3 linked regions of the Xenopus tropicalis genome follow. The protein of the gene in region 1 interacts with the protein of each later gene in a pairwise test. Links are inferred from orthologs where the notes say so. Each region holds a gene or a part of one and is shown on either strand. Other genes may lie near its edges. The genes, in order: stx5, ccdc155l and stx3.

Region 1 (3,661 bases):
ATACATGGGCAGATAACATAACACATACAAAGCATAACATCATGTCTGAGATCAAGACTGGAGTTTTACATAAAAATGTATTCTGATGCATGTAATGCAGTCAATGCTGTATGCCAATATTCTTAAGAGCATCCCTTGGTTTCTTTTTATTGGACTACTGAAAATCAAAGTAATTAAAATGTAATGTATTGTTGTGCATTTGCTTCAGAAACTCTACTATAGTTTATATAAACAAAGCTGTTGTGTAGCTATGGGGGCAGCCATTTAAACTGAAATAGGGCTAAATGGTACAGTTTACATATCCGGTAATAGATAAGCACTGTAAAACATCATTGTATTCTACAGAGCTTATCTGTTATCTGCAATGTAACCTGTGCCTTTTCTCCTTTTTTCTTGCTGGAATAGCTACCTCCATGGCTATACAGAAACTTTATTTATATGAACTATAGTAACCTCTCTGAAGCAAACACACAGCATCTTGGGGCAAAAGTATATTACATTTTATTACCTTAAAACACTTTCATTTTTTAATGTTACTTTAATGGTTTCCATTACCTTGTTATGCTTATTCTCTTTTCACTTATTCCTGACTGCATTAGTGTACATACCACATGTTTGTGCGCTGTCTGTTTTAGCTCTTGGCACTCCAGGCATATTAGTGTGGTCTTTAATATTCATTTTAAAAATGTTACTCTACATTGAGTGTTTAAATAGAATACCCCTTTTCAGATTGGGATGGTGCATCTATCTTGTCAGCATCGTTTTGGGAATTTCTTTCCTTCAGTGTAAATAGTTGTAGGATATCCAAAATTTGACCCCACACAGTTGCCTGTGATCCTCTGTTAAACAGCCTTCTTCTCGTAGTATGCCTGCTAAATACTGCATGAGGTAGCACTTGCTGTCTTCATTCTTTTTGTAATAGGCTAAAAATGCTGAGCTGCGTGTTTTTTGATTGGCATTCTGCATATGTAATTGTCATAAAATGTAATTGTTTACATTTTAAGCAAAGAGTGTTTTTTTTCCTCTGTGTGATTTTCCATGTCTGTTTTGAGTAGGCTCCTGCCAGTATCAAGGTTCCATTATTGGCTGTCCATTTGGGCTGCTTTTATATAATGTCAACAGATTTCAACTTGTCTTTGAAAACATCCTGTATTGTTTAGTAAAGTAATTTCCTAGAGAATTTTTTATTTTTTTTTTTGAAAATTAATAAAGATCATTTTAAAGAAATTATAGTAATTATTGTGCGTACACAGGCAGGTATAAGCTACTGCTTTATTCCTGGGATTCTAGCTGTATTTATATATTAACATTTACGCCTGTGGTACACAAGACTCTCTGGGAGGAAGTTAAAATACTTTTCTCTGCCTGCAGGAGCTTTGCCAGTTCAGCCATTGGCACTGTTGTGCCAGCTGTTATAATGCCTCTTTCACTTATCACCACAAAAACACATGCAAATGTGCATAAATCCATAATATATACAATCCGTTCAGTAGCTCACAACCCTTTAAACTTTACTATATATTCTCTGGATTAAACCTTTTTATTTTTCCCACAGCTGGTCCTGGCCCCATGAACGCTCGTAAACGTCTCGGGTCCCGTAACACAGACAACGGAATATACATAGGACCATCCCAGACTCAGGTCCTGGTTCCTGCTTCAGAGTTTCCTGTTGCTCCTCTTCCAGTTCCCCCAGCTGACATCATGTCCTGTCGGGACCGCACTGCTGAGTTCATTTCTGCTTGCAAATCTCTGCAGGGACGCCAGGTTGGCAATTGATGGGGGAAGAAGAAAATGTCTTTGGGGTCTGGGTAAAAGATATTCACATGATGAAAAAGTAATTTACGATTTAAATATATGTTTGTTTTTTTATAGAATGGTGTACAGTTGTCATCTCCGACTCTAAGTGCTGTTAAGCAAAGAAGTGAATTCACCCTAATGGCCAAGTAAGTAGAAGGTTATGTTCCATCCAGTCATCTCACTTAAGCCAGCAAGATGTGGGCTGATGTTCATTTGTAGTGCTTGTGTTGCTTTTCACCCTCTAGTTATAACGATATTGTGGTTTTACTCTAATTTGTAAATCTTAGATTTTCAGCTTTAAACCTGTGCATAGTGCAAAGTAATCTCTCTGCTGTACCATTAGATGCATCACTCCATTTAACAAAACAAGACTAAGGGGCAGCCCGTAATCAGGTGTTAGTAATACAACTTATTATGGGCTGCCCCTTTCTCTGTTAAACAACCCTTGTGTCTTGTGCTTCTTTCTTTATACTCTCCATTTTATTGATTCCTTTTTCAATTATTGTTTTTCAATTGCAGACGCATTGGAAAGGATCTCAGTAACACATTTAGCAAACTGGAGAAACTGACAATATGTAAGTATTTAACACTTCTGCAATTAACCCTGTGTGTGTGTGTATGTGAAAAGAGAGAGCAAAAGTTTTTATAATAAAATTCTGTTTCAGCGCAAGTGATTACAAGATCACATAAAAAATATGAACTTGAGTCAGGGCATTCAAAGGTGATCATCTACAGGCCCAACCTAAAAGGTGTCCAACAATACACATAGTACCTCTCTGACCAAATACATAGATGACTGCATTTTATTATATCTGCAGTAAACGAAGTTCCGCATTTATTCCACATTCAGCTGCATGGTGCATTAGAAGATTACATATTCAGTTTGGACCTATTGCCATCCCCCAGTGATGCTGGTCAAGAAAGGTTAACAGGCAGTATGGGCAAAGTTGTTTAAAGCATCCAGGGCATATATGGCTTGCTTAAGTTGTTTTCAGTCTTAATTGAGGCTTTCTGCACACTGCTGATTAATGTGTGAATCTTAACCAAATGTGACTGAATGTAGCCACAGCTTTATCCCTCTGACTCTGAATCAGATTATTCTGGTTATAAAATAAATTGGTATATATATATACACACAAATACATACTAATTATGTAGGAGCAGTTAACTAGATGCAGGTAACTACAGCGTTTTCAGGCCCAAAACTGCATTTCCAGCTGAAATATGCTGTGTGTTGCTGCACCTGGGCCAAAGCAATGCTTTCAGGTGCAGGCACAATTTTTAGATTTTAAAAAAGCGTAGGGGTGGATCATGGTCTGCATTTACCCGCAGGCTGAGAATCTGTCCCGTGGCACTAGCTTAATTTTTGGAAATATTTTCTGTGGTACAGAATAATTACAGCATTTAACCACATTTTCATTAAGATGATTAATGACAATTTAATTATTTCTCAGTGGCAAAACGAAAATCACTTTTTGATGACAAAGCTGCAGAGATTGAAGAATTGACCTACATAATTAAACAAGTAGGTATCTGGGTGTACAGCTTAGATTAATTTCAATGCGTATGTGCAAGTGACTTGAACTCTTTAAATCAGGGATCCCTAACATTTTTTTACCCCTGAGCCACATTCAAATGTAAAAAGAGTTGGGGAGCAATAAAAGCATGAAAATTGTACATGAGGGTGCTAAATAAGGGCTATGATTGGCTATTTGGTAGCTCCTATGTGGGCTTGGAGCCTACAGGAGGCTTTGACAGTGGCAGTACACTTTGGTTTTAATGCAGCCAAAACTTGCCTCCAAGCCAGGAATTCAAAAATAAGCATCTGCTTTAAGGCCACTGGGAACAACATCCAAGGGGTTGG
Region 2 (2,904 bases), on another chromosome or scaffold:
TACATTCAGGCCGATGGGATGGCATATCGGGGAGATTAGTTGCCCGCAACAAGGGAGATTTGTCGTGGGCGACTAATCTCCCCATCTACCACGGCTCTTATCTGTGCATTGGGAATCTAATGATGTACTTTGCAAGGACCAAACATGGAGTCATTTCAGTTTCCCTGTTTAGCTCAAGAAATAAAAAGAAAAAAAAATGTTTCCTGATTAAAACAATAGATAAAAGTATGCTTAGCACAAGCCCTATTCATTGCATACCAGCGGAACAAAGGGGGGGGGGGTACTGTCACTTTAAGGTGTTTTATTAAGGCATTTATTTGGCTAAACTACCTTGTCCGGCTGAGAGGGTGCAGCCTGTGGCAGTGTGTGAATGCTACTGAGTTCTTTACCATCACATTCTCCCACAACCCCCTGCCATAAGAACCATAGCCAAATGCTGCATCCCTCCCAAAGGATTAATTAGCTCTCGTCCCACTTCCCCTAGCTCATTAGCACATTAGTCTCTTATTGTGTCAGTCACTATTGTAAAACTCCTACCAGAGATCAGACACAAGTGCAACAATATAAGAACAATGGAAGATAAAGATAACTAAGATGTTAAAATAACAGAAATATAAAGATAAAATGCTGCTTTTGCTCTCTTCTTTATCATTGGCTAGTAGCTGTGTGGTGTTGGCACCTCTTTCAAACCGGTGGTGGAGAATGGTAGTGCAAGTCTAGATGAGGCCATATCTCTGCTTTCAGTACAGTCCAGATGTGCTCCCCTGCCCACGCTGGGCAAAACATCAGTGTGCCAAGAAGGATCAGGGTTAGCCATAGTGAGCTCTTGTTCTGCAGTTGTATGCAGGGCACTATGGAAGTGTGCAGAGTATCAGTGCATAACCTGAACAGGAGATGTGAGGCAATAGGTGAGTACCACAGAATAAAGGCACACAAAAACAGTGCACAGCAAAAGAAAATTTAATTCAAAATCTTACACATAACTTTAAAGCCACTGATCATTTTTCATTAATGGATATTTACTTAGAATTACATTTTTTTTCACAGCTACTAGGGGCGAAGACACACGGGGTGATTAGTCAAGTAGCAGTGACTAATCTGCATAGTGAAAACTCGCGAGCGTTTACTTGCAGCGACTACTATTCTATGGCAGAAAAGTTGCTGCGATTAGTCACGACGACTAATCACCCCGTGTGTGTTTGCCCTAAATGCCAGAAAATATCCTGCCATAGACTATACTGAGAATTGCCTCTGCTAAAACTCACCTAAAGACAATTATCAGTAAATGATCACTACTGTCTATTTAAGTAGCCGTGACAAGTAGCTGCTACTAGTAACTATGTCTGTCTTCACCCTTAACCTTTCTAAATACACAATAAAAGAATCAAGGCTGCCATACATGCAAAGACTTTACTAACCCATAACCATGATACTCTAAAAAACCATTTCTCCACATGGCTTAGCCTGACTGTGTAAGGCAACCTCTCCCCCCGTGTTCCACTGGGAAGTGATGGTTTCTGGGTCTCTTGAAGTCTCTCTGCTTTTAATAATGGGAGGTGCACAGATTCTCTGGAAAGCAGAGAGACTTAAGGTCATGGTTGGGGGTGGGAAACTCATCCCTGCAAGCAGAGACAGACTATCTTGGCGTCCTTTCAATCTGGGGAATAAGTTATGTCTGTGTAAAGAAAATACATTTCTATTTATATCTGGAGGCTCAGATAGCGCCAAAATGGGGGAACATGTGATGTTTGCTGAACACAAGAACCATAAAGTGAGGTTGGCCTTTATGCAGCAGGCACATATTCCAAAGATATACCATTCAGTAGCAGGGAGCTCCTCACTGTCTGGTTCCTTGGCCTCCTTCCCTGTGTACAGTTGCACGGCTCTGCCCAACCTGCCCCACTGCCTTTCCCACACATTCTTCAGCTCAAGCAGGTAGTTCAGTTCTAGCAGGAAGTGGCCGCTCTGCTCATACAGCTTGGATTTTAAGGAGAGAATGTGCCGTGGCAGACAAGAGAAAAACATATTTGGTTAAAAGATATGGTAATATATCCATGTTGTTGCATTAACCCTTTCAGTGACAAGCTGCTTTTATTGTGCAGCGCTACAGGTTGCCAGACCACACAATGAAGCATAGACCAAAGTGTACAAATGTAGAATCTGTGGTGCTGGCATAATAGTATGTTTATGTTAGCACCATGGATTCTACTTTTTCTGTTAACGTAATGGTTTGCAAACAGTTTTGGAATAATGTTGTATTTCTCATGGTTTAGATATCTACAAATATTGCACAATATCACAAAATGTATATTTTCAACTCACTCTGGCTTAGTTGCAGAGCTATCCTTAGGAGTGGCCAATAGTGGTAGTTGCCCTGGGCTTGAGACGTAAAGAAAGGACCATGCAGTGATGGCAACTCAGAGTGGAGGGAGTGGGCTATTTTTATATGAATACATAGTAGCCCTGTACAGATCAGAGGAGGGCCACATCCACAGTCTCATCAGGTATTGATCAGGGAGGTTGGAATGTTGGTGCCATACACAACCAATAAGTCAGCAGTCAATGCCAGGCTGTTTATGTCCAGATTTAGCTTTCTTACCTCAAAATCTCAGCGACTGAGGCCTCTGAAGGTTAAAGTATTGTGAACAATTGATTGCACATAAGAACAATGACAATGGTGAAAGAACATTTGGTTAAATGGTCAGAACACATGGCCAGATATGATATGGTCGGCAGTTTGACCATACTATCCAGCCGTCTGATCACAGATGATCAGTTCCATTTGGAAATGTCTTCTGCTGATGCACCATGTTGGTTGATGTTTGGGGAGTTGACAGATAATTAAGCGAGACCTCAGTACTTCACTTCCCATATTTTTGATTATTTATCAATAAATATATAAAT
Region 3 (3,661 bases), on another chromosome or scaffold:
TCCCCTTTTATACAATGTTCAAGATCTGCTGGGAAGTACATTTGCAAAATATACCACTGATGCTATATACTGTATGTTCTCCATCTGTATGAGGAATTGGCCAACCAACAAACACATTCTAATATTTAAAAAAAAACAATCTTAAGGTTACATGTTAAAGGGAAACAAATGCTTAACAAAAAAATTGGATACAAATTATAAAAATTCTGTTTTTTTTACAGGTATATAATGCAAGGGCCAATATTTGTTCTTGACACAGTAGGGCCCATATTCACAACTAATCTTATTCAAACATTTTCCACAGCTTTCCACAAATTTGGGCATATATTTTTGAAAAAAATCATATATATATAGGTTAATGATGATCACAGGTCAGAAAAAAATTGTGGGAAAAGCTGTAACCAGCATTTTCCTGCTTGCCGAAATACTGAAGATACACTTCCTATTGCTTTCTATAGAATCTTGATTGGTCTTAGCTAGCGTGGTTAAAGCTTCCTTTTCCTACAATCAATCGTCTTCTAATAAAACTCGCAAAATTATAGAATTGCTGCACACATTCCCACCTTTGACCATGATATTTTTTTGTGGACTTGGAGGCTGATGACCCATACAAATCTCTGCTATTGGGACTTCCAGATCTCACCCGTCTCTGACTCTAATCCACCCAAATCTATTAATATCATCGCCTGCCGCTTGACATCCTAATCCCTACTTCTCTACATTACTGTGAAGTGACATAAAGGGCATTCCTTGAAACTATTAACTAGGGATGCACCGAACCCACTTTTTCGGGCTGAATCCTGAACCTAATCCTAATTAGCATATGATGATTAGGATCGTAAGGGGTCGCAAGCAGTGAAAACATTTTTTTCACTTCCCATTTAACCCTTTCCAAATTCTAATTAGCACATGCTAATTAGGATTCGGTTCAGCCGGGACCACAGACTCGGCAGAACCTGAATCCTTAAAAAAAAAGTCGGGATTCAGCCGAATCCTGAACCGAATCCGGGATTCGGTGCATCCCTACTATTAACAACTGACAGGTTTAGGCAAGCCTTTAATAGCAAAAGGAAATATTGATGTGAAGTGAAGAAAATTAACTAACAGGTGTAGTGAGGATGTGTAATTCTGTTGAATTATGACTTTTAAAAATCATAATAATTACTTTTAAACTAATAATTATGATATTTAAACTCATAATTATGACTTTAAAAGCCAGAATTTTGACTTTAAAAGTCAGAATTTCAACTTTTTAAAATCATAATTATGAGATTAAAAGTTATCATTTCGACTTTTTATAGTCATAATTTCGACTTTTTAAAGTCATAATTATGAGTTTAAAAGTCTTAATTATCACTTTTACAAGTCATAATTCACCAAAAAAAAAATTTGTGGCCCCAGTGCTCTTCCGTAGATGTGTAAGTAAACGTATACCTAAATAATTTGACATATAAACTGAACAAAGGAAAACTGCTGAGAGAAATATATGAAGCCAGGAGGTAATATTAATAGCTGCGAAGTAATGAAAAAACTGAAATCAGTCAAAAAGTAAGAATTGTATGCTTAAAGGGATAATGTCATGATTTCTTTGGTGTACTTTTTATTTCTAAATTACACTGTTATTCTTAAACCAAGAAATGTATTTTTTTTAGTTGTAACATTGCTGTGTAGGCGCCATGTCAGTGCATTGTGCCCGAGTCTGAGCTTTCAGAAGGAGCCAGCGCTACACATTTGAACTGGTTTCAGATAACCTATTGTTTCTCCTACTTCCATATAACTGGAGGAGTCGCAAACCGAACTTGGATTTCTTACTATTAAGTGCTATTCTGGTATCTACTGGGAGCTGCTATCTTGCTACCTTCCCGTTGTTCTGCTGATTAGCTGCCGGGAGGGGGAGTAATATCACCTCAGCTTGCAGTAAAGGGTGACTGAAGTTTATCAGAGCACAGGTCATATGGTTGTGGTACACACGGAAATGAAGAATATGGCTAGCCCCATGTGAAATTTCAAAATTAAATATAAAAAAATCTGTTTGCTTTTATGAAAACATATTTCAATGCAGGATTCTGCTGGAGAAGCTCCATTAACTGATACATTATGAAAAAAACATTTTTCCCATGACAGTATTCCTTTAAATAAGAATATGAAAAACATTATTCCTGTATTTTAAAGCTTTTTGGATAAGACATTTCTGGATAATAGATGTCATACTTTCTTTGTATAGTACAATTTTGTGCCCACTATTTTTGTATTATGTAGCTTTAATTAAAAGTTTTTAATTAAAGGTTTAATCAAAACAGTTTACCTTTTTTAACTAGATTTGATATAGATAATCTATATATAATCAGTCAGCGGTCTTAATTTTGTTCTTTTCACTTTGCACCTCTCTCCAGCTGGCAAAAGTACCACAGACGAAGAATTGGAAGAAATGTTAGAAAGTGGGAATCCTAATATTTTTACTTCTGGGGTAAGAAAGAAACTCTGAGGGGACCTTTGAATTTTTGCTACTTTTCTGCAACTTTTACAGTGCAGACTTTTTATTTCAGATTTTTTAGTAAATGCCAGACATTTATGGAAACAAAAAAATTAGAAATGTTAGAGTTTTAGTAAATCTGCCCCTGAGTATAGAGAAGAATTATTACAATTTTAGAGAGGGGATTGAAAAGGAGAAAAGAGTTAAGCCTTTTGGGCAAGAAAGAAGTTGGACACACCATTGTAGCTTAAGGATTTATTTTGAAGAACTCTCTTTACCTTTTGTATGCATTAGTTTTTTAATGTGAATTGTATACTTGATTAAAACACATTTTTGTTGTACAGCACTGCTTAATGTGTTAGCACATTTAAAAGCATTATTGTTAATAACAGTTATGAGAACATTTTTTAGTTTTTCATTATTCTTTTTTTTTTTCATTTTACACTTTTCACAGATAATTAATGACTCACAAATATCACGTCAGGCCCTAAGTGAAATTGAATCCAGACATCGAGATATTGTACGACTGGAGAGCAGCCTAAAAGAGCTCCATGACATGTTTATGGATATTGCAATGCTTGTGGAAAACCAGGTAACCCAAACGTGGATTGTGATTTGATATTATGAAAGGACAGGAATATCAGAACTAACACATACACATATTTATTGTCTCAAAATGCAAATAGAATTCTAAGCTATTTTATATTTTCTACCCTTAATGCTATGCTTTTCATGGATACTGAGACTTCTTATAGTTCAGGTAACTACAAAAATAAAGATTGTGCATCTGTGCATATTGAGAATCTTTCACTGTCCCTTACTTTTAATAATCATTTTATTTATTTTTAACAGGGTGAATCTTTAGACAATATAGAGTTAAATGTTATGAAATCTGTGGAACATGTGGAGAAAGCACGTGAAGAAACCACAAAAGCTGTGAAATACCAGAACAAAGCACGTAAGGTGAGAAGGGACACTACACAGCATATTTTAAGACAAACACCTAAGAAGAAAAGCAGGAGTAGCTTGACAAGAGAGAAAAGACTGCACAGAAATGATATCTGAGGGCCATACAGGAGACAACTGTAAAGACATCTGTTATTGATATCTTACTTTATGTACCTCTTTATTCGTGTCTTTTGCTTTACTTTCATCCACAACTTACATTTTCCACACTTAATCCATATA

Evidence for each region.
Region 2: the proteins of stx5 (region 1) and ccdc155l interact in binary tests that used the Homo sapiens proteins (3 or more experiments, as listed by UniProt). The two-hybrid records come from large-scale screens. The link is inferred for Xenopus tropicalis from reciprocal best matches to the Homo sapiens genes STX5 and KASH5.
Region 3: the proteins of stx5 (region 1) and stx3 interact in binary tests that used the Homo sapiens proteins (3 or more experiments, as listed by UniProt). The link is inferred for Xenopus tropicalis from reciprocal best matches to the Homo sapiens genes STX5 and STX3.

Annotation. Positions count from the first base shown.
Region 1 is NC_030680.2:36,549,474-36,553,134, reverse strand, and holds part of stx5 (syntaxin-5), read left to right. Parts: intron 1-1,555; 5' UTR 1,556-1,569; coding exon of another isoform or gene 1,570-1,701; coding exon 1,702-1,764; intron 1,765-1,872; coding exon 1,873-1,943; intron 1,944-2,316; coding exon 2,317-2,372; intron 2,373-3,251; coding exon 3,252-3,322; intron 3,323-3,661. UniProt on the Homo sapiens protein: Mediates endoplasmic reticulum to Golgi transport.
Region 2 is NC_030683.2:112,424,096-112,426,999, reverse strand, and holds the end of ccdc155l (lymphoid-restricted membrane protein), read right to left. Parts: intron 1,978-2,904; coding exon 1,817-1,977; intron 884-1,816; coding exon 685-883; 3' UTR 576-684; downstream 1-575. UniProt on the Homo sapiens protein: As a component of the LINC (LInker of Nucleoskeleton and Cytoskeleton) complex, involved in the connection between the nuclear lamina and the cytoskeleton.
Region 3 is NC_030683.2:60,542,272-60,545,932, reverse strand, and holds part of stx3 (syntaxin-3), read left to right. Parts: intron 1-2,393; coding exon 2,394-2,467; intron 2,468-2,927; coding exon 2,928-3,065; intron 3,066-3,325; coding exon 3,326-3,436; intron 3,437-3,661. UniProt on the Homo sapiens protein: Potentially involved in docking of synaptic vesicles at presynaptic active zones. Apical receptor involved in membrane fusion of apical vesicles.